Callithrix jacchus: one gene and its partners. The protein of the gene in region 1 interacts with the protein of each later gene in a pairwise test. Links are inferred from orthologs where the notes say so. Each region holds a gene or a part of one and is shown in the gene's direction. Other genes may lie near its edges.

Region 1 (5,920 bases):
GGAGGTTGCGGTGAGCCGAGATCACGCCATTGCACTCCAGCCTGGGTAACAAGAGCAAAACTCCGTCTCAAAAAAAAAAGAAGACATACAAATGGCCTACAAGGACATAAAAAGATTCTCAATATCATAGCCACCAGGAAAATCCAAATGTAAATCCACAATGAGATCCCACTTTATACCTACTATAATGGCGATAATCAGAAGAAAAAAAAGACAGAAGTTTGGGAAAAGATGTGGAGAAATAGTAATCCTCACACATCGCTGGTGGGAGTGTAAAATTGTGCAGTCACTTTGAAAAACACTTTGGCATTTCCTCAAAAATGAAACATAGGGTTACTGTATGATCCAGTAATTCCATACCTAGGTACCTATCCAAAAGAAATGGAAACATATGTTTCTACAAAAACCTGTACACAAATACTCACAGAAGCATTTAAACATTTAACAGCTACAAGGTGAAAACAATCTAAACGTCCATTAACTGATCATGTATAAAATGTAGTATATTCATGTGAAATTATTCAGCCATAAAAAATACTGATACATGCTATAACATGGATAAACCTTGAAAATATTATGCTAAATTAAAGGCAGACACAAAAGCCATGTATTACATGATAGCATTTATATGAAATCTCCAGAACAGACAAATCCATAAACACAGAAAAGTAGAGTATTTGCTAAGGGCTGGGGGAAGGCAGGAACAGAGAGAGGCTGCTTATGAGTGTTTTTTGGGGGTGAAGAAAATATTTTGGAACTAGATAATCGTGATAGTTGCACAATTTTATGAATATACTGAAAACCATTTACTTTAAAATGGTGAACTGAATGGTAAGTGAATTACATATTAGTAAGTTTTTAACAAGACCTTACAGAAACCAATAGTAAAAATGTATCATAAATCTGGGAGTGAAACTCCAACCTATGTGCCTGGAGGATGGGGAGAAATATTAATGAAACAGTTTTGGCAAACATGGAGGGAAAAGGTGTTTCACTTTTTTGAACATCTTACATTACTTGCTGGTATTAACTGGCACATTTATTTAAGAAATTTGGCAGTTTGTATCAAAAAAAGATCAAGCACATATTCTGTGATCCAGGATTTTCACTGTTGGAACTCTAATATCAATGTGTGGCTGGCATAGTTGGCACTCAGTGATGTTCTTTCCTATTATAGAGGTGATAACCATAAGGAGAGATAATAAATTATGCACTTAATTCCTGCAGCCAAATTCAGCTCTTCTGCTTTTTACAAAAATAAGAAAATGTTCACACTATAACGTACTATGACCATGAAATTTCTGTTCCTTTAATCTTCGCAAGCTGCATAAATTGGAAAGTGAAATTTTTCTGTAAAATATAGGGTCTTGTTTCTAAGGATCCTGAGCATATACTAGCAGAACAGTGAAAGATTTCATGTAGAGTTCCAGTCTCTTTTTAAAAGGCATGTAGTGGGGTGGGAATAGGGTGGGGGAAAAGTGAGCAAGCTTGAGCCTCACCCAAACACCATGAAGCTACAAAAAGCCAAGAAATATTCAGATTGGCTTATGTATAAAGCTTCATGAAAATGAGCAGTGACTATGCATTGATTGATAAAATCAATTACTACTGAAAGAAGTCCCTAAAGTGAATCTATGTGTTTTTTAACTCTCTCCTAATGGTGATATCTCTTTAAATATCGCATTGCTATTATCTGGGGGATATATAATTCCTTTGTTCAAATAGAATTCTATCAGTTCCTCTAACATGAAGAAAACCATGTTATTCTACTTTGTACCCAAGCCTTTCAGTCTATGAAGACATAATATGAAGTCAACTTGCCCAAATTGCAGGCAGAACACCAAACAAGGAGAAACAGCTTCCGAAATCTCCATTTTCCAAAAGCTGACAAATGACAACTGAACTTCCGGAAGGCTCACTGCATCACCACTCCTCTACAGCTGGTTCCATGGAAGCATGGAGAGCCCATCAACATACCTGCTACACCCACAAGGCCGCATCCTCCTACCCACCCAGCATGGTAGAGAGAGAGGGATTGTGACATAAGCAAATACCCTCAGGCTGATATATGTAAATGCCAGCCTATGAGCTTCCTGGTAGGGACACCAACAGTGAACGCCTCATAACAGCCAACTTCTTGCAACTCCCAAGCTGACGGCCTCACAAGGGGGAGGAGAGACTCCTCTACTGGAGAACTGATAGCAGTATTCTGGTAGAGGGGGCATCAAAAATCCTAGCGGGGCAGTGTTAATCATGTAGGCACCATGGAAACTGCTATGTGTGTTTGCTGTCCATGTTGTACATGGCAGCGATGTTGTCCTCGGTTATGCTCCTGTCTATGCTGCAAGTTCATCTTTACCTCAGAGCGGAACTGCACCTGCTTCCCCTGCCCTTACAAAGATGAGCAGAACTGCCAGTTCTGCCACTGTACCTGTGCTGAGAACCCCAACTGCCATTGGTGTTGCTGTTCTTGGGCCAATGATCCCAACTGTAAGTGCTGCTGCACAGCCAGCAGCAACGTCAAGTGCTACTACTATGAGAGCCGCTGCTGCCGTAATATCACCGTGACTTTCCACAAGGGCCGCCTCAAGAGCATCCATACCTTGTAAGTGCCAGGCACCAGATGTGCAGCCACATTGGCTCAGGAAAACTAGGGACCCCTTGCTAGCTGTGAAGTCCACAGGGCAGGCCAGTGCCCCTCTGTGTTTATTTATCTAAAAAAAAGGAGCCAAGAATTTTGTAGCAATTAACTGTATCATATATGGTCACTATGTATGTAGACCATGAGCTCCAATCTAAGCATCATCGACTAGAGCACTTCACTCTTCTGAACCCTCTCTCATCTGTACAAAATAGTAATAGCTAATACTTGGTGTTTACACAATTTTCCAGGCATTTCATGCATAACCCAAAGTCCACTGTTCTCATGAGGAAACTGAGCATTTGAGAAGTTTCCTTCTCAAAGGAAACTTTGAGAAGAAGTTGCCCCAGGATGACACAGCTGGAAAGATTCAGAGTCAGAATTGGAACCTAAAATTTGTGATCTTAACTCTAGAATGCTGTATTGCAAAACAGAGACAAGACCCCCCCACCCCCATGATATTGTAGATATAAGAATTAATGTATATTCTTTATAATCTGCATGTTATAGAAAAATAAAAAGTGCTCATTTTCTTCCTATTAACTCTAAATACCTGCAACATTTATTGGAAAAGTAAGACCTTCTATGGGGCACTTTTGACCCTGAGAGCCATTTAAGTACCCCAGACATCCAGGAACTCCAACTGCCTTCTCTTTTTCTCATCCAGAAGTCACGGAACTTGGGGTCTCAATTATTCATTTGGAGTACTAATCCTCCATATCAGGTCTTACATTATCCTCACCTGCTCTGCCAAACAAGCCTTTTTATGTCACACATGAGGGGAGTCTGAAGTACTAAGAGCACACTTCTTAGAAAAGATGACAGCACTATAAGATGACAGGATTAGAAGAAGCAGAAAAATGGCAGGCCAGTTTGAAAGCTTTCAAGCCTGGAAAAGCAATTCTGCAAGCAGAAGTTTAGTGAACTTAGGGGAAAGATATTATCCATCTTGCCATTAAATCTTTAGTAGCTCCTTAACACCCATAACTCTCCACCTATGGCCCTCTCATAGTATCTGCATAAATAGGAAATCCAGGGATTCTCAGTCCAAGTCTAGAAATACTAAAGTGTGGGAAATAGTGTCCACATTCCTCTCTCAACTACCTAATTCTCTGTGCAACAGCAACTGAGCCTCTGAGCCCATTTCAACAGGAAAAAGATAAAATTGGTCTTTAGGAAAATGCCTCAGGCATCAGTTGCTCCCTAACGTTATTGTGCATTGAAGTCACTTGGGGATCTTTAAAAATTACTGATGCCCGATATCCACCCCAGAAACATTCTGATTGTATTGGTCTGGGGTACCACCTGAGCATCTGAATTAATGAGCATCGCCCCTTCAGGTGATTCTAATGTGCAGAATGGCCTGCAGGTGCAAAGGTGGGAAGCCAGGAGATTTGACAGGTGATACAGTAAGAATCCAGGTGCAAGAACAGGCCTGATTTTGGGAGAGAGGGGAGGCTGTGCAGAGGAGCAGAGGCAGGCTATCTCAGCAAGAAGATAAAGCACTGGTCTTGATGCTGCTTTGGAATGGAACCATGGCCACTGAATGCCCTGACCAAGCCTGAGGTTTGTGGAGGATGCGCAGGGATGCTAACGCATGTGTCAGGAGGTTGGCTCTGGGTGCTTGTCTTCAATCTGGCCTCTCTTCTGGCTTCTGACTCTTGGCCTCCTCTGCTTCTCATCACCACTTTCTGCTCAGCACCTTGCTTGTTCTGCCTCACTCTGGTCTCATTCATCCCTCTCTACCTTACTCTTTTTCACCTCTACCACAGCTCCCTAGGCCATTAATACCTGTCTCTTAGCCCTGAGCCCTCTTTCTCGTCCTCCAACATCTCCCTCCCTACTTCTTATTTATGAAAATTCTAGCTCATGAGCTTCCTAGTAGGAGTACCACCTGTGAAGGACTCACAACAGCCTCTTTATATTATACCTTGATTCTCAAGGCCTTTTTTTTTTTTAGCAAACTAAAGACCTGTACCTCCAGGTGATCCCTTCGGGACACAAGCAGGAGTCTGGGAAAGCAGAGAGGAAACAGAACTGAGAACATTGAGGCCAGCATGCCTAGAGCTCCCAGATCCCTAAAGGACAAATTTTTCAGGTGCCTTAGTCTACACAGGGAGCATTCTCTGTCGCCACATGGCCACTCCATTCCAATATGCTTGGGAAGTATCTGTGACTGTGGACTCAGACATAGGTCCCTGGCCAAGGGAGGGGGGAAGAAGAGAGGGACACATAAGGAATGCAAGACAACAAAAGCAGAAAGGAACACAGCCACAATGGCAAGATTACTACCCAAATATTATCCAAACAGAGGAGATAGCAACAGTGGCAAATTGTGTGCCTATTTATACCTGCATCCCCACAAATAATTCGTTTTTATACACTGCATTTGCCAACTGTAAGTTCTTAGAACACGCCCTTCAATTTTACAAGTATACTTTTACTCCATCCATAGTTCTTACAATATATGAAATCATCCTCAGGCGTTAGACAAATGGAGAGCCTTAACACACACAAATGAAACAGTAGACACATACTTTTCACAGACTTGGCCACTATTTTCCTTTACTGTGATTTCTCTCTACTGCAGACCGTAGCTGGCTAGTAGCAAAGGGGAGTAATTATAGTGGCCACATTTACTGAAAGCTTACTATGTGCCAGCAGTTAAGCACTTATCATGCATTGTCTCATTTAGACTTCATAAAAACCTCACAAAGCAAGTCGTACTGTGAGCTTTGATATATAGTTGAGAAAACTGAACATGAGAGAGGTTTAAGAAAACATCTCAGAGGTCCAGCTGTAAAGTGGTGCATTCTAGCTCATGCATTCTGCCTCTGAAGCCGAGATCCAATACCATTACCTATTGGTCTGGTTGACAGATCACACAGGTTCTAGGCTTGTCTCAGGTACAGACTTGCTCTATGTTCCATCTATGTACATAAATGTCAATATCCTCCAGGAAAAAAACCACTAAGAACACGCCTGTAGTTAGACAAGATTGGATTGACTGACTGATTGCAGCAAATGAGAACATAAAGCATGAGTAAGGGTAAGGTACCTGGAAAAGTTATTACAGGATTTGTGCTCATGTTAGGTAAGGACCCAGGGGTAAATCTATTGAACATCTTAATAAATCTTATCCAGAAGGTGGGAAGAACAGAGTGACTCGAAAGTTGTTTTAAAAAAAATCAACCAGGATTTTTGGTTAAAAAAAAAACCAACCAGGATAGAGGGACATTGGATTGCTTTTATGATGTAGACAATGTTCTTGTCTGAGTC
Region 2 (5,447 bases), on another chromosome or scaffold:
ATCATCAAAAAAAAAGTTTGAAGGACCTAGTCTTTAAATAGAGGCAGCTTCATTTATGTTAAGGACAAAGAAAAAGATTTTTGTCAAAAACTCTTTTGAGATAAGTGAACATAATTTAAAACTCTTGGCTGGGTGCGGTGGCTCACGCCTATAATCCCAGCACTTTGGGAGGCTAAGGCAGACAGATGACTTGAGGTTAGGAGTTCAAGACCAGCCTGGCCAACATGGTGAAACCCTGTCTCTGCTAAAAATACTATATAATTATTGTATTTTACAATACACCAGGCATGGTAGTGCACACCTGTAATCCCAGCTACTCGCAAGGCTGAGGCACGAGAACCACTTCAACTTGGGAGGTGGAGTTGCAGTGAGCCGAGATAGCACCACTGCACTCCATAATGGGTGACGGAGTGAGACTTTGTCTCAACAGAACAAATCAAAACAAAAAAATAAACTCTTAAAACATATATTTTCTGCCATTTTACTCTCTGTTCTGCATTATGCATTGTGATTTGGCTGCTCAGGGTTGATAATGTTGCAATGGCTGGTGCAGAAAGACCCAACAAGCATTCTGTTAGTGTTTTGTAGCTAAATAATGTCTTTAAATGCTGGCATTTGTATTCTGACTTCTGAGTTGAAGGCAGTAGGATCATCTTTGGATATCAAGAATTTCACTTAGAACATCAAGATTCCTACAGTAATAAGAGAAAATTCACATCCCTAACAAGTTTATGCCTTCCTTACTCATACATTTTGACTGTTTCATTGACATGCATAGGAGTGTTTATAAAAATAGAGATAGAGATGTCATAGTTCTGACTCTCCCAACTTTTTTATCTAAACCATTATGTTTCATGTAAAATGAACATGCTGTTGTTAATTTGCATTTGCTTTTTAAAAAACAGTTGTTTAAAAATTTTTTTTTAATGTTTCCAGTTCTTACTGGGTTTAATTAGAAAAGCCTTTATTGTAAACAAAATAATTATGAGTGTATTGAGTCGAGCCCTTTCCCTTTTTCTATTTTTTTCTTTTACTGTTTGAGCTAATTTGAACAAAATTATGAACCTCATAACCAGGACTTTTCTTTTTTCTTTGCAGTGTGCAAATCTCCAGGGAGTCAAAATGCTCTGTTCTAATGCAGAAGGAGCATCCCTGAAACTGTGTAATTTTGAGGATCCTTCTGGTCTTAAAGCCAATTTAGAAGGTGAGATCCTATCTGTAAATAGCTATTTATGGAGAAAGCAGACCATAAAGGAAAAAGCCCTGGAAAGTAATTGTTATGGGTGAAACAGGATAGCAATAGGGGATATGTTTCTTCTGTCATCATATTTGGAGAACTTCCAAAGAAGTAGATACCTTCTTTTTTTCTCAATCAAATGCTAATCTAAACTGAGGACTTAGAAGAAATAAAGCCTCGAAAATTAAGATTTTAGTTGGAAAATTAAATATCAACATCTTAAACTTTCAAATGTAATATAATGTTCTTATACTGGCCAAAAGGAAAAATTTCTTATGCATAAAGCCAGGGAGTTTTAAAAAATCGTTTTTAGATTTAATATATTGTTTCTTAGTTTGTTATTGTTTTGTTATATCTGTGACTGACCACTTTGTTTACTTGTATGTTTTAGGAGACTACTTAACTCCCTCATCATAAACCTGTAGAGGCACAGTATGAAAGTGTTAACTATCATAAAACAGAACGAAGTTTCTTCCTTTAAAAGTACTGATGAAAGCATTCTTTCATCAGTGAACTCTTTATATATATGTTTGTTGAGAGACAAGATTTTAGATTCATTTCCAAAAGTTAAAGGAGGCTGTCATTATTCACCCCATTAAGTCATCTTGCAGTTTTATTGAAGTGGATAACTATATTTTTAAGTTAAGCTACTCCCAGAATGTGTTCACTGTAGGTGCTAATCTGAAAGGTGTGGATATGGAAGGAAGTCAGATGACAGGAATTAACCTGAGAGTGGCTACCTTAAAAAATGCAAAATTGAAGAACTGTAACCTCAGAGGAGCAACACTGGCAGGAACTGATTTAGAGGTGAGTTCACCAACATTTTAAGAGTTTTTATTACTCTAGACTTAATAAGTATTTCATGCAAAATTTATTGAAATCAAAACAAAGTAGTTGGCTGGTAAAACTGCCAGGTAACATGCCAACACAACTGGAGGGATATTTTCCTTTGATTTGTGTGTTTACACAAATAAGAATTCCAGAGCAAGATTCACTTACCTAAGTCATAGATGCCACTTGTGGATTGGAAGACTCACCTGACATTCAGTCTAAGTTGATTTAATTTCTCTCCTTTTCCTGAGTTTTTCTTAAGTAAATAAGTTTGATAGATGCATTATTAATCTAATATATTGCATTTTCCATAAAAAATAATTCTGAACAGAATTAAATGGGCTAGATTACTTCTTAAACTACCTAAGAAATTTAAATGATACCCAGGTTTGAAATCAGGTCCAGGAAAAGTCTATTTAACATTGGAGCCGTATGTTTTTTGGTTTTCAGCTTGAGACTATAATTTTGCCAACTCATCTTTTTCATAAGAATTGTATTTGTATGTCTTCTTAATCTCTCAGTTTAGCTACCAGACTTGATAGCTGTTGATAGGTCTACACCAGCACCATCCAGTAGCACTTAGTGCAGGAGGGACACGTTCTATATCTGTGCTGTTCAGTATAGTAGCTACTAGCCATAGATAGCTGTTGAGCACTTGAGATGTGGCTAGTGTAGATGAGAAATTTATTTTTAAATTTTATTTAATTGTAATTCATTTAAATTTAAGTAGCCACATGTGGCTGGTAGCTATGAAATCCGGCATAAATTGCATTGCAGAGAACAGGGTTTCAAATTTTAGCTTGCTGTTAATTTTTTTTCTTAATGCTTTTGCCTAGATCTCTTGATAGCTCTCAGTAGCAGAGGAGCAGGCCTCTTTCAACTTGAAGGCAAAAAGAATTGACCCAAGATTATAATCCTATCACAAGCACAATTATTTATTGTTTGTTACATTACTTCCATCTAAGATTATATTTTTTTTCCTAGGTTTTAGTTACTGTGTAGTCAGTGTGGCTTAGCAGCAAAAACCTCCCTCTGTCTGATTGCAAAGACTGATAAGACTGACTATTGAGGGGAGAGCTGCTGATATCTGTTCTCCTAACAGGTTATGTTTAGTCACCCTTCTCTCTAACCATTCTCCCCCTATCATATCCAGGGACTTAACTAGAATCTCTATCTTATCTATCAGTCTGTGATCTCAAGAGAAATTAAGAGCTGGGCACAGTGGCTCACGCCTGTAATCCCAGCACTTTAGGAGGCGGGCAGATCACCTGAGGTTGGGAGTTCGAGACCAGCCTGACCAACATGGTGAAACCCCCGTCTCTACTAAAAATACAAAAATTTATCGGGGCCTGGTGGCACATGCCTGTAATCCCATCTACTCTGCAGGCTGAGGCAGGAGAATCTATTGAACCTGGAAGGAGGAGGTTTCATTGAACCGAGGTAGCACCATTGCACTCCATCCTGGCAACAAGAGCAAAATTCCATCTCAAAAAGAAATTAAAAAACAGCTTCAAACTGTGGTAGTTACACTACTCTGTACATCTACCAAAACTCATTGTATTATATGGGGCTTTAAAAAGAAGGGTAGTTCCTTGCTATGAAAATACTAGGTCTAGGGAATGGAAAAATCTGTTATGCAATTTGATTAAGTAAAATCCCATCTCATGCCTTTGTTGTTGCTGTTGTTGTTCTTGGATCACAGTAAAATTATTTCGATAATCTTTATTACCTTGGGGCCGGGTGCAGTGGCTCACACCTGTAGTCTCAGCACTTTGGGAGGCCAAGGAGGGCAGATCACTTGAGGTCAGGAGTGTGAGACCAGCCTGTCCAGCATGGTGAAATTTTGTCTCTACTAAAAATACAAAATATTAGTCAGGCGTGGTGGCGAGCACCTGTAATCCCAGCTTACTCAGGAGGCTGAGGCAGGAAAATTGCTTGTCCTGAGAGGTGGAGGCTGCAGTGAGCCAAGATTGTGCCACTGCATACCAGCCTGGGCAACAAGAATGAAACTCCTCTAAAAAAAGAAATTGTGTGTGTGTGTGTGTGTGTGTGTGTGTTACTATGTTAGAATCCATTCTGTATTTTTTTTTTTTTTTTGAGACGGAGTTTTGCTCGTTACCCAGACTGGAGTGCAATGGTGCGATCTTGGCTCACCACAACCTCCGCCTCCTGGGTTCAGGCAATTCTCCTGTCTCAGCCTCCTGAGTAGCTGGGATTACAGGCACGCACCACCATGCCCAGCTAATTTTTTGTATCTTTAGTAGAGACTGAGTTTCACCATGTTGACCTGGATCGTCTCGATCTTTTGACCTCGTGATCCACCCGCCTCAGCTTCCCAAAGTGAGGGAAGATTACAGGCTTGAGCCACCGCACCCGGCCCCCCATTCTGTTATTTAAATCAATGGTCCCCAACCTTTTTGGCACCAGGGACCAGTTTCGTGGAAGACAGTTTTTCCACAGACCAGGGTGGGGGAGTAGTTTCGGAATGATTCAGGTGCATTACATTTATTGTGCACTTTATTTCTACTAGTATTACATTGTAATACATAATGAAATAATTATATAACTCACCATAATGTAGAATTAGTGGGAGCCTTGAGCTTGTTTTCTTGCAACTAGACAGTCCCATCTGGGGGTGATGGATAGTGACAGATCATCAGACATTAGATTCTCATAAGGAGTGTGCAGCCTAGATCCCTGGCATGCACAGTTCACAACAGGGTTCACTCTCCTATGCAAATTTAATTAATGCCTTGATCATCCAACAGGAGGTGGAGCTCAGGCTTCAACTTGAGCCAAAAGGGGAGTGGCTTTAAGTATAAATGAAGCTTCATCTACTGCTGACCTCCTTGCTATGTGGCCTGATTCTTAATAGGCCATGGACCTGTATGGGTGTGTGGCCCAGGGGTTGGGGACCCCTGTTTTCAATATCTCATTAGAAAATATGCAAGCATAAGTAACATGCTTCCTTGTTAACCTTTGTTTATACATATTTATGGTGATGAGCCTGAACATTAACTAGAAGTAACAAATACAGATAGAAGAACATCTTACTTTAGGGTGGTGTATCATCAGAAGTTTTCCGGAAATTAACTGAGTTTTATTGTATAGGAACATTTTCCTAATATGCCCCAGAAATCGTTTTGAGAGGAAACAGATAAGGCCTGAAATCTCCACATGAATTACATGAGTATTGTTTTCATCTTGCAGAATTGTGATCTGTCTGGCTGTGATCTTCAAGAAGCCAACCTGAGAGGGTCCAACGTGAAGGGAGCTATATTTGAAGAGATGCTGACACCATTACACATGTCACAAAGTGTCAGATGAGAATTTTAGGGGCTGGAGGAAGATGTACAAGATGAAAATGTTTTCCTTACCA
Region 3 (5,447 bases), on another chromosome or scaffold:
ATGACCCTGGGCATGTCATTTGACCTCTCTGAGCCTCAGTGGTCTAATCTGAAAGATGGAAGCAATAATAATACCTACCTCATAGGATGGTTTTGAAGATCAAATTTAGTAATCTGATTTTTTAAACATTTTTAATAATACTGGTAATCTTATTTTATTTTATTATCTTTTGAGAAGGAGTCTCGTTCTGTCGTTCAGGCTGGAGTGCAGTGGTGTGATCTCAACTCACTGCAACCTCCACTTCCAGGGCTCAAGGGATCCTCCCACCTCAGCCTCCTGAGTAGCTGTAATTACAGGCACGCACCACCACACCCAGCTAATTTTTTTGTATTTTTAGTAGAGATGGAGTTTTACCATGTTGGCCAGACTGGTCTCAATCTCCTAACCTCCATGATCCATCCATCTCAACCTCCCAAAGTGCTGGGTTAAAAGTGTGAGCCACTGTGCCTGCCCTGGTAATTTTATTTTATAGGAAAATATTTTCTAGCCAAGAATACTACGCCTTTTTTCCTCTGTAAACAAATGTTCTTGTTCCTTCTTTTCTTATATGAAATTCATTCTATATCTCTTGAGCTCAATTTTGCCCATAATGAACTAATTTACATTTGATATTTAGATTTAAACTGAGGACACTAACAGGAGAACATGTTTCAGGAATGTTGATTTGATCCACCGTTTCAGAGCATGGTAAAACAGCCTGCTTCCTTCTCTTTGGTCTTTCTCCCCTTTCTCATGCTGCATTTTTCTAGGACTGTAATGACTTTCAGGCATGAACTGTTCAAAAGCCTTCCTCACTTAGCCTCAGATTTATTCTTGGCTCTATGAGCTTCTTGGATAAACCAGAACATTTAGAAATTTAAACATGAGCTAGAAATAAAAAATGATTGGAAAATCATGGGTTTTCTGAATACCCAAGTTTCTTCATTTCTCATTAAAAGAAAAACATGCTCCAAGCAAGGTAAGTAAAACATTTATTATAACGCCAAACTCTTGGTCTATTCTATAGAAATACAACCACTGATCTCCTGGGGTCACATTAAGATCAATTTTTAATAATACACATCTCCCGGTTTTTCAATTCTATTTTGTTTATTACCAATAATCTAGCTACGTTTTTAAAACTGGAGAAAAGTAGAAAGAAAAATCTCACTCCTAGTTCACCCTCTTAATGATTACTTCTGCCTTTTTTTTAAAGAATATTTAACTTTAAAATGCAGTGCCATGATTCTATTTCTCCCTCAGGTCTATCACATTTCCAGAAACTCATGGTTCAAAATGGAGACAAGAATGATCAAGAACGTGTGTGCCCCTGCAGTGGTGCTTGGGGAGCGGATTGTCATTGTGGGAGGTGAGTCTGAACAGGGGATCGCTGGGTGTGACACAAACTTGGCACCGTCTATGGAAAAAAGGTCACTCATAGACAGATGTTATTCTACAAGATTGTCTTTAAAAGCACATCCAACCAACCAGAGAAGCGTGGAGAATCTGACAAAACTTTTTCCTCATCCAGAAGTTTCTGTCTTTATCTGTAAACAACAGATGAAATAATACCTATCACACAGAGCTGTTGTGATGATTAATGTACTTGTGTATCTAAAGCCCTTAGCTCTATCCCAGACACACAGTAAATAAAACATGTTTGCTTCCGTTAATAATACCAGCTACTAATGGTTTGTTTCTCTGTAATCATAGGATAGTGTCATCGTTAAGAAGACTGGTATTGGGGTCAGATAGACCGGGTTCAGATCCTGGCTCTGTCACTAACTGGCTATATACTCGTTAGCAAGTTAAACATCTTCTGTGCCTCAGTTTGCTCATCCATAAAATGAGGCTCCTAAAAGTACCTACCAGATAAGGTTGTTGTGGGGAACCCACTTCTGAGTTTCCAAAGGCTTGGGATTGTCATAGTTCTTGAGTGGGCATTTGAGAGAGGAAGTTGCCAGGCTGAGAAAGTTACAGGAATCAGGAAGCTGCTCCCAATCTAAGAATGGCTTATGCGCTGCCTTAACTTGGGGTGAAGGTCAGAATCAGACAGATCTGTGTGCCAGTCCCACTCTGCCACAAAGCAGGCCTTGGCAGGCCAGCTCTACACCCCATGCTCTAGTTCAGAGCCCCGGCCTCAGCCTTAGGCAGTGGCAGGGGTCAGACGTGTCCCAGGACCCCTCCAGTCCCAGATGAGCAAGGCTGAGCCTGACCATGTGTCGTTTGGTTTTCAGGTTACACAAGGAGGATTCTTGCTTATGACCCTCAAACCAACAAATTTGTAAAATGTGCGGACATGAAAGACCGGAGGATGCACCACGGGGCCACGGTGATGGGAAACAAGCTCTATGTGACGGGCGGGCGGCGCCTGACCACGGACTGCAACATTGAGGACTCCGCCTCATTTGACTGCTATGACCCTGAGACGGACACCTGGACATCCCAGGGGCAGCTGCCGCACAAGCTCTTTGACCACGCCTGCCTCACTCTCCAGTGCATACCCTGCACATCTGCCCTCCCATGAGGTCAGGAAGAAACCTGCTGTCCTACTCAAGATGCCTTTTGTTGCAAGGGATACAAACCCAGCTCCAAAGGGCTTAACCCTAAGAGGCTGCAGGGAGAGCTCACAAGCCTGAGGTACCAGTCAGGAGGCCTGGAACTTGGCATAGCATTGCCAGAACCCTCTCTCTCCTTCCCTCCCTCTCTCGCTGTCTCTCTCCCCGACCTCCATCTGTCTCCTTTATCAGTCTCTGTGTCTCCCCATTCTCTCGCTCTCTCCTCACCCCATCTCTGTCTTTTTTTTTTTTTTTTTTTTTTTTGAGATGAAGTTTCACTCTGTAGCCCAGGCTGGAGTGCAGTAATGCGATCTCAGCTCACTGCAACCCCCACCTTCCAGGTTCGAGAGATTCTCACTCCTCGGCCTCCCAAGTACTGGGATTACAGGTGTGAGCCACCATGCCTGGCATGTCTCCTTTCTGTCTCAGTTTCTCTGTCTCTCTTCTCTCTGAGTCTGTCTCTGTATCCCCCTCTCTGTTTCTCTCTCTCTCTCTCTCTCTCTCTCCCTCCCTCTCTCTCTCTCTCTCTCAGTCTCCCCTCTCTCTTCCTCTCTCTCCTCCCGAGATTTTCCTCTCTTTCTACCTCATCTCTATTAGGCTTCCTTCTCCAGCAAGCTTCTTTATTTACCCACACAGTATGGGGACAATGGCAACTGATAAACCCAGACTCATTTTCTAGCTTTACATCTTCAGGAGACAACTTTGCCATTACCCATATATTAAACCTAAAGAACAATGCTTATGGGCCTTTCTTGAATTCCATGCCTACCCGTTGAGCCAATCACTGTTGCCAGGACTGGCTAGTCCTGGACCATATCCCCACAGACAGAGGTGGGGTTACCTGTTGTGATTGACAGCCATTCCAAACTGTATGTGATGGATTCAAAGCATTTCCCCAAAGGGAGAAATCTAGACAAAAACCACATCTGCCCAGGACACCACTGAAATCTGGAACAAGAGGGCTGAGACCCCAGAGGATTCCTGGACATGCTTGGTCCAGGTGGCAACATGAGAAATTGGCCCTGACCTTGTTTTTCTGCATTATATGGATGTAGTACATCGAAATTCCAGAGACGTCTGCACAATTCAGTATCTAATGTTTGTAAAATTATTCTGCACTGCCAGAATAAAGTTTGTTTCTGGTGCCAAATGATGTTTTTCTGCAGCCTCTGGGGAGCTATAAACCTGCATAATTAATCAGGATGTTCATTTCGGTCAGTGTTATAAGGATTGTTCTTCTGGGGAAAGTCAACAAATTCTCTCAGTGCTTACAGCAGTCATTGCCCTCAGATGCCAAGGCTGACTATCTCTATAGCCCCCGTTATCTGGAGGTGCCTCCCACACTGGCTCAGTCCCAAACTCAGGAATCAGCCGAAGTAGAGAACAGCGCTTCTCGGCACTGCCTGCATAACACCGTCATCTGAAAACGGGGCCAGCCCCATTTGAGAAAAATGACCAGGGATGCTTTGCGGGGTTGGGGGGGGGGCCAGACACTGTATTTTTTGAAAAGCTTCCCAGATGACTGAAATGTGTAGTCAGGGTCGAGAACCACTGCCCTGCCCAGCTGTGGGCATGGAAGACCTCCATGGCTTGTTCCATTCCCCTCCTGTCCTGGGCTAGCCTGTCCAAGCCCAGTGATGTAGGCTAAGTCCTCTCCCCATCAATTCTGCAATCAGTCTTGCTGCCCTGGGCCTGGCACCAGAGTTTACTCCAAGCTGTGGCCTTCCTCCCCATCTGGCTCTCCAGGTTGATGTTCTAGACTTTTCCTTCATTCTAAGTTGTCTTTTGTGTACTTCGGATTCTCCTGCTAGGGTCTGAAGCTCTGCTCTGCTCCCCAGATCACTTGGCTGAGGTCAGAGAGACCCCCTGCCTGGATTGCCAGCCCTGCTCCTCAGCCTGAACACTGTCCCCATAGCTGCTGGCTGGCATCTTGTTCTAACCTAGTGTCTTTGAACTCCCTCTCTTCAGGCTTTCAGTCCCACCTCTGTTAAATCACAGGAGAGCTGATTGTTTAAAAGGGCATGGCACCCCTCCCCTCTCTCTTGCTCCCTCTCATGTGAAATCTGGCTCTCTAATATGGTTTGGCTGTGTCCCCACCCAAATCTCATCTTGAATTGTAGCTCCCATAATTCCCATGTGTTGTGAGAGGAACCTGGTGGGAAATAATTGGATCATGGGTTGGTTTCCCTCATACTGTTCTGAACATAGTAAGTCTCATGAGCTCTGATAGTTTTATAAAGCGTTTCCCTTTGCACTTGGCTCTCACTCTTCCTTGTCTGTCACCATGTAAGACGTGCCTGTCAGTCTTCCGTCCTGATTGTGAGGCCTCCCCAGCCCCCACATGGAACTGTGAGTCTACTAAACCTCTTTTTCTTTATAAATTACCAAGTCTTGGGTGTGTCTTTAACAGCAGCATGAAAAACTCTCCTTTCCCTTCCGCCATGAGTGGAAGCAGCCTGATGCCCTCACCAAAAGCAGATGCTGGTGCCAAGCTTCTTGGACAGCCTTCAGAACCATGAAACAAATAGACCTGTTTTCTTTATAAGTTACCCAGCCTCAGGTATTCCTTCATAGAAGCACAAAATGGACTAACACATCTCCCCTTTCTGTTTTCACACTTGCTGTGCGTTCCCCTGAAAACATTAGCCCCACACATCATACCCACATGGTTCACTCCCTCAATCACCCCAGGTCTCTGCTTAAAGGTACCTTCCTTCCCTGACCACCCACCCTTCATGCAATCCATCAACAGGTCCTGTCTGCAACACCCCTAGGAAATAGATCACAAACACCTCCAGTTTCTGCATCTTCACTGGTACTTCTCCAAGTCAAGCCATCCTCATCTGATCAGTCTTCAAAAGGTGCCCCCTGCTTCCACTCCTGCCCCATTAGCCTTCCTTGAACAATATC
Region 4 (5,447 bases), on another chromosome or scaffold:
CTTACCAGATACCAGTACCCTTATTTGGAAAGACTTTCAGGGAGCTGTGTCAGTTTGGGGGTTTTGGTCTCTAATCTGTGTTTTCACAGTAATTTTAAAAATCTTACACATTTATGGCCTATATTCTATCTGATATTAATAATATTTGGTATTGATAATACAAATAGAGCCTTGATTATTTGGGTAAGACATGAAGCGGAATCCATTATGTCTTCTAGCTGGGCTAAAGTATACATCTTTACTACTGATAGTATATGGAAAGACAGAATTACTCTGTACCTGTTGTTTCCTTCACAGAGAGCTAGTGGCATCTGATGAACAACCATGATACCTGGCTGAAACTCCAGGGTGGAAGTAATGCCCAAGTCCCTTTATAAAAGCCCACCACTATAAATCCTACATAATGGCTGTATGCAAACTAGTAGTCAAAGTCAATCATTTTAGAAAGGAAAGGTTTTGGTTAGCTCCTAAGTGGCTGTGTTTGTAATGAATGCAGTAGCTGTTTGGCAGCTTTCTGAATCTTTGGAAGGCCCTTGGTCCATAAGTCCTTGTGAACACCCACACATCTAGCATGAGAGACTAGTGCTAGAATGGAAATTTCTCTGTTCCCTACTCCTCACCCTAAGCCCATGTTCTAGTCCGACTTCTCTCAGCCCCTGCTCTTACATATCTACCACATTTAACAGAGCACTAGATGAGTAGCTTACCAGAGCTGGCACCTTTTCGGAGATCCTCTGGAATTTCATTGTAACTGACTGATTCACTTGGAGGAACAAGAAAAGTGAGAGGCATCTTATTTTACATTAGAGTTCCTTGGTGTGGGTACAGGCAGAGGTGGTATTTCTCTCAGTATGAGTACTGTGTTTGCCTTCTTTGATAGTACTTCTCAGAATCCGTTCATTTAAAGATAGCAGTGACTCAGTCAGTTTGAGATGTAGAACTTTTTTGTGACTTTCTCGCCATTGCCTCCTGTTCCCTCCCTCTACCACCACCCTAATTCAGTTCATAAAAATAGTTTTTAAATTGAAAGTCATCCATAATATGTAAAAATGGTAATAGAGAAAAATATTAAAGTAATATATTTTTAAGATTTGAGTGTCGCAATTTTTTTTTTCCTTGAGACAGAATCTTGTTCTGTCACCCAGACTGGAGTGCAGTGATGGGATCTCTGCTCACTGCAACCTCTGGCCTCCTGGGTTCAAGCAGTTCCCTGCCTCAGCCTCCCAAGTACCTGGGGATTACAGGTGCCCGCCACCACGCCCAGCTAATTTTTTTTGTATTTTTAGTAGAGATGGGGTTTTACCATCTAGGCCAGGCTAGTCTTGAACTCTGACCTCGTGATCCATCCCCCTTAGCCTCCCAAAGTGCTGAGATTACAGGCATGAGCTACTGCGCCCGGCCTCAGTTTATTAAATAACTATTAAAATTATATTGGTGATGTTGAGCACAATACTTAACATCTGATTTGTCTTTTTTTTTTTTTTTTTTAGTTAAGAGTGTAGTGATGCTGGAGCATCACTTGTCACATCTTGACATCACTTGTCATACACTTGTCACAGTTGCCTTTAGTTTGGGTATGCCCTTAATGACCTCTGTTGCCACACTCCTGTCTCAGCAACTTTCCAACTTGAGCCACAATTTTGATACTCATTACTTTTATAATGTATAAACTTCTAGGACTTCAACACTTAATTTTATACTAAGAGTGTGTGTGTGTGTGTGTGTGTGTGTGTGTGTAACTTCCTCTGGCCTCAGGCCTTTAAATACATTAAAATAATTAATTTAAAATCTTTTTTAAATTAAAGGATTTTAATTATTTTCCTGTTTTTTGTTTGTTTGTTTGTTTTTGTTTTTTTCTTTTTAGAGACAGGATTTCTTTCGCTATCTCTCCCAGACTGGAATGCAGTAGCACGATCATGGCTTACTGAACCCTCTACCCCCTGGGCTTAAGCCATCCTTCTGCCTTAGCCTCTCAAGTTACTGGGATTGCAAGTGTGTGCCACCACACCCGGCTAATTTTTTTAAATTCTTTGTAGAGACCGGGTCCCATTATGTTGCCCAGGCTAGTCTCAAAATTCTGGGCTCTCAAGCAATCCTCTTGCCTCCACCTCACTTCCCAGAGTGCTGGGATTATAGACATGAACCATCACACTTGGCCTCTGTTTATTTTCTTTAAAAATAACGTATGGGCCAGAAGCAGTGACTCATGCCTGTATTCCCAGCACTTTGGGAGGCTGAGGTGGGCAGGTAACCTGAGGTCAGGAGATGAGACCAGCCTGGTCAACATAGTGAAACCCCGTCTCTACTAAAACTACAAAAATTAGCTGGGTGTGGCAGTGTGCACCTGTAGTCCTAGCTGTTCAGGAGGCTGAGGCAGGAGAATTGCTTGAGCCCTGGAGGTGGAGGTTGCAGTGAACCAAGAACACACCACTGCACTCTAGCCTGGGCAACAGAGTAAGACTTTATCTCAAAAAAGAAAAAAAGAAAAGAAATATGTGGATGCAGTGATTGCATTTTGTTAAACCACTTCTAAACAGATAAACAACAAGAGAGTTATTGGTTAGAACTGTGTTTTCTAAACATTTGTATTTTAAATCTATAAACAGCCTTATTTTTCTTTAGCATTTATGTGAATTTGAATCAGTCTTGTTGGTATCATAGATGGTATTTTTATATAATATTAATTGATTGTATTTGTGGTTATTTTTCCAAAATGTAAAAAGGATTCTTTCTCTTCCTTGCTTTAAAATGTTCACTAGTTTCACTTTTCCTGGAGCAGTACTTTTCAAACTGTGTACCTAGGTTGATACTAGCTAACATTTACTGAGCACTTAATATGTCACACTATTCCAGACTTTGACATCTGTTACTGGTTTTATTCTCAAAACAAACCAATGATGAAGTAGGTATTAGTATCTTAACATTTATATGAGAATTTCATTCTGCTTTGTAATATTTAATATAAAAAGGTTTCTAAATGAATGACCTAGCATCAAGAAAAATTGAATCTAAGATTTCTATTATATTTGTTTTTTGTGACTTTTTATACTCCAAGGCATACCCTGTACGTCTAGAAGTGAGAATTTCTTTGTATGAAATTAACAATAAAAGACATACTCCAGAATTCTAAGTTTGTTTTAAAATTACATTTAGTAGACCTAAAATTATTTTATTTGCTGTGCAAGTTTTTAAACCTCTTACTCTCAATTCCTGTATTTGCCTTGCTTTAGATGGACACTTGCCTGCAGTGGGCACTGAGTAGCACTGTTCTCCCACGTACTTGATGTCTTAAACATTGTCTTTCCCTTCCCTAAAATGAGTGCACATCCTTGTTTTCTGCTTGTTGCTTTTCTACTTTTCCTTCTTGACACTTCAAATACTCTTTCCCTGGGAAGCCTGTCTAACTGGAGGCCATCTCCAGCAGAGCCATGTACTCCCTCGCTGTGCTTCCATAGCACTGTATTCACCTTCTCTCTTAATGCTTGGTGTGTAGTTGGTATGCTTTACAGACTCTGAGCTTCTTGAGGGCAGAGACCTGATTTTAAGTCTTCTCTATATCTATTATAGTCAAATACTTGGCACCTAGCGGTGTGAGTAAATGTTTGTTGAATGAATAGATGAGAGAACAGACAGTGTCTTTCAAATTACAATGTGTGGTGTAATCTAGTATTACCATTAGAAATTATAGGCTACATCATCATTTAAAGCCTCCCAGGGCGACAACCTAACCCCTGCCCTAAGAACATGCTTCAAGTCCAGGCTGATATGGTATAGTATTACTGTAGTAGTTAATGATTGAAATGCCCGACAAGCAGAAGTTTGATCATTTAATGATAATGTGCAGCAGGCAGAAGTTCAGTGCCTAATGTTCCCGTGTCTTATTTATTTCAGGAGTTGCTGGATAAATACTTAATAGCCAATGCAACTAATCCAGAGAGTAAGGTCTTCTATCTGAAAATGAAGGGTGATTACTTCCGGTACCTTGCTGAAGTTGCATGTGGTGATGATCGAAAACGTAAGTATATTTGTTATATGGGCAAAACTAAAGTACAAAAAAAGGGGACAAACAGGTCACTGTGACAATATATGTAGCCTCCAGGCTCTTTGTGATGTAAAAATAATTGAACATACATCAAGAAAATTAGTATTATCTTACATTCTCAAAAATGAAAATTGGGTCATAAATTTACATCATGTGCCCTTTAAAAGAAAGACTCATCTATGAACTTTAGTTATAATTGCACATGGTATTACTTAAAACAGGCATAATCTTTCATGCTTTAGAATTTTGGTTCACTGTGCTCTTTCCACCATCTTTCCGCGCCACCACAGTGGTCCACATAAATGTCCTGGCTGATGCTCTCGAGCATCAACGATGCCGAAAAGAGGCAAACACCAGGTGCTTATTAGGCCATGCTCCAAAGTCATCATCTGGTTTCTCATTGTGATGATGAAGCATGGTTACATTGGCAAATTTGAAATCATTGATGATCACAGAGCTGGGAAAATTGTTGTGAACCTCACAGGCAGGCTAAAGAAGTCTGGAGTGATCAGCCCTAGATTTGATGTGCAACTCAAAGGTCTAGAAAAATGGCAGAATTTACTTTATCCTGCCAGTTTGGTTTCGTTTTTAGCTCCAGAGATTTTTGCGCAAACTTTATGAGTCATTCTGCATTTCACATGGCCTTTTTGTCATTATGCCTTAAAATGCAGATAACTGAAATTACTCATAGAACATGGAATCAGGATGTTGTGCCTTTTCTGTTTGTCATATTAATTCATTATCATCTATTTTAAGGGGTCATAACATTGACTGCTAATTACATGTAATCAAATTTCTGAGGAGGAGAGGTGAGATGAATATGTTATTGCTGGTATATTATTGCTGGTATATTGCTGGTTTATTGCTTCACAGTAAATTTGAATGACCCATATGGTTAGGTTTTACTTGAGAAAGTTGAATACACAGGAATTGATGATTAATCAAGTAGTAGTCATAAAAATAGATTTCAGTATTAAATGTCTATTTTGTTTTTACCTAGACTATCATAAAAAAACATGGATATGGGAAAAAGTGATCAAATTGCCTAACTTGATAATAAAAAAGTGAAGTGAATTTATTTGCAGTGAGTGTCTCCTGGGATGCTGGTAGCAGAGTATAAGATCCTATTAAATTCTGTGCATGTGCTTGCTACCAGATTTATCAAGTTCTAGGTAGTAGAAGTATCACTTAATTCCTTATTTTTTCCAGAAAGTTTGTTATTTTGTTTTTTGCCATCCTAAATATCAGTGTAACTGAATATATAAAGACAAGTTGTACCTTGAGAAACTGTTGTACCTTGCTGTAACAAAATCTGTATACTAAACTTATTCTGTTACTGATGTATAATTTCTATTGCCATGAAGATAAGCAGAATTGGACATGATACTGGCACGGAACTGAACAT

Evidence for each region. The genes of interacting proteins can lie anywhere in the genome.
Region 2: the proteins of TRIM42 (region 1) and KCTD9 interact in binary tests that used the Homo sapiens proteins (3 or more experiments, as listed by UniProt). The two-hybrid records come from large-scale screens. The link is inferred for Callithrix jacchus from reciprocal best matches to the Homo sapiens genes TRIM42 and KCTD9.
Region 3: the proteins of TRIM42 (region 1) and KLHL38 interact in binary tests that used the Homo sapiens proteins (3 or more experiments, as listed by UniProt). The two-hybrid records come from large-scale screens. The link is inferred for Callithrix jacchus from reciprocal best matches to the Homo sapiens genes TRIM42 and KLHL38.
Region 4: the proteins of TRIM42 (region 1) and YWHAQ interact in binary tests that used the Homo sapiens proteins (3 or more experiments, as listed by UniProt). The two-hybrid records come from large-scale screens. The link is inferred for Callithrix jacchus from reciprocal best matches to the Homo sapiens genes TRIM42 and YWHAQ.

What each region holds. Positions count from the first base shown.
Region 1 is NC_133518.1:43,743,926-43,749,845, reverse strand, and holds the start of TRIM42 (tripartite motif-containing protein 42), read left to right. Parts: upstream 1-2,098; 5' UTR 2,099-2,264; coding exon 2,265-2,605; intron 2,606-5,920.
Region 2 is NC_133514.1:16,081,570-16,087,016, forward strand, and holds part of KCTD9 (BTB/POZ domain-containing protein KCTD9), read left to right. Parts: intron 1-1,098; coding exon 1,099-1,204; intron 1,205-1,910; coding exon 1,911-2,044; intron 2,045-5,278; coding exon 5,279-5,395; 3' UTR 5,396-5,447. UniProt on the Homo sapiens protein: Substrate-specific adapter of a BCR (BTB-CUL3-RBX1) E3 ubiquitin-protein ligase complex, which mediates the ubiquitination of target proteins, leading to their degradation by the proteasome.
Region 3 is NC_133517.1:73,744,571-73,750,017, forward strand, and holds the end of KLHL38 (kelch-like protein 38), read left to right. Parts: intron 1-1,242; coding exon 1,243-1,348; intron 1,349-2,216; coding exon 2,217-2,506; 3' UTR 2,507-3,687; downstream 3,688-5,447.
Region 4 is NC_133515.1:105,386,597-105,392,043, forward strand, and holds part of YWHAQ (14-3-3 protein theta), read left to right. Parts: intron 1-3,891; coding exon 3,892-4,015; intron 4,016-5,447. UniProt on the Homo sapiens protein: Adapter protein implicated in the regulation of a large spectrum of both general and specialized signaling pathways. Binds to a large number of partners, usually by recognition of a phosphoserine or phosphothreonine motif.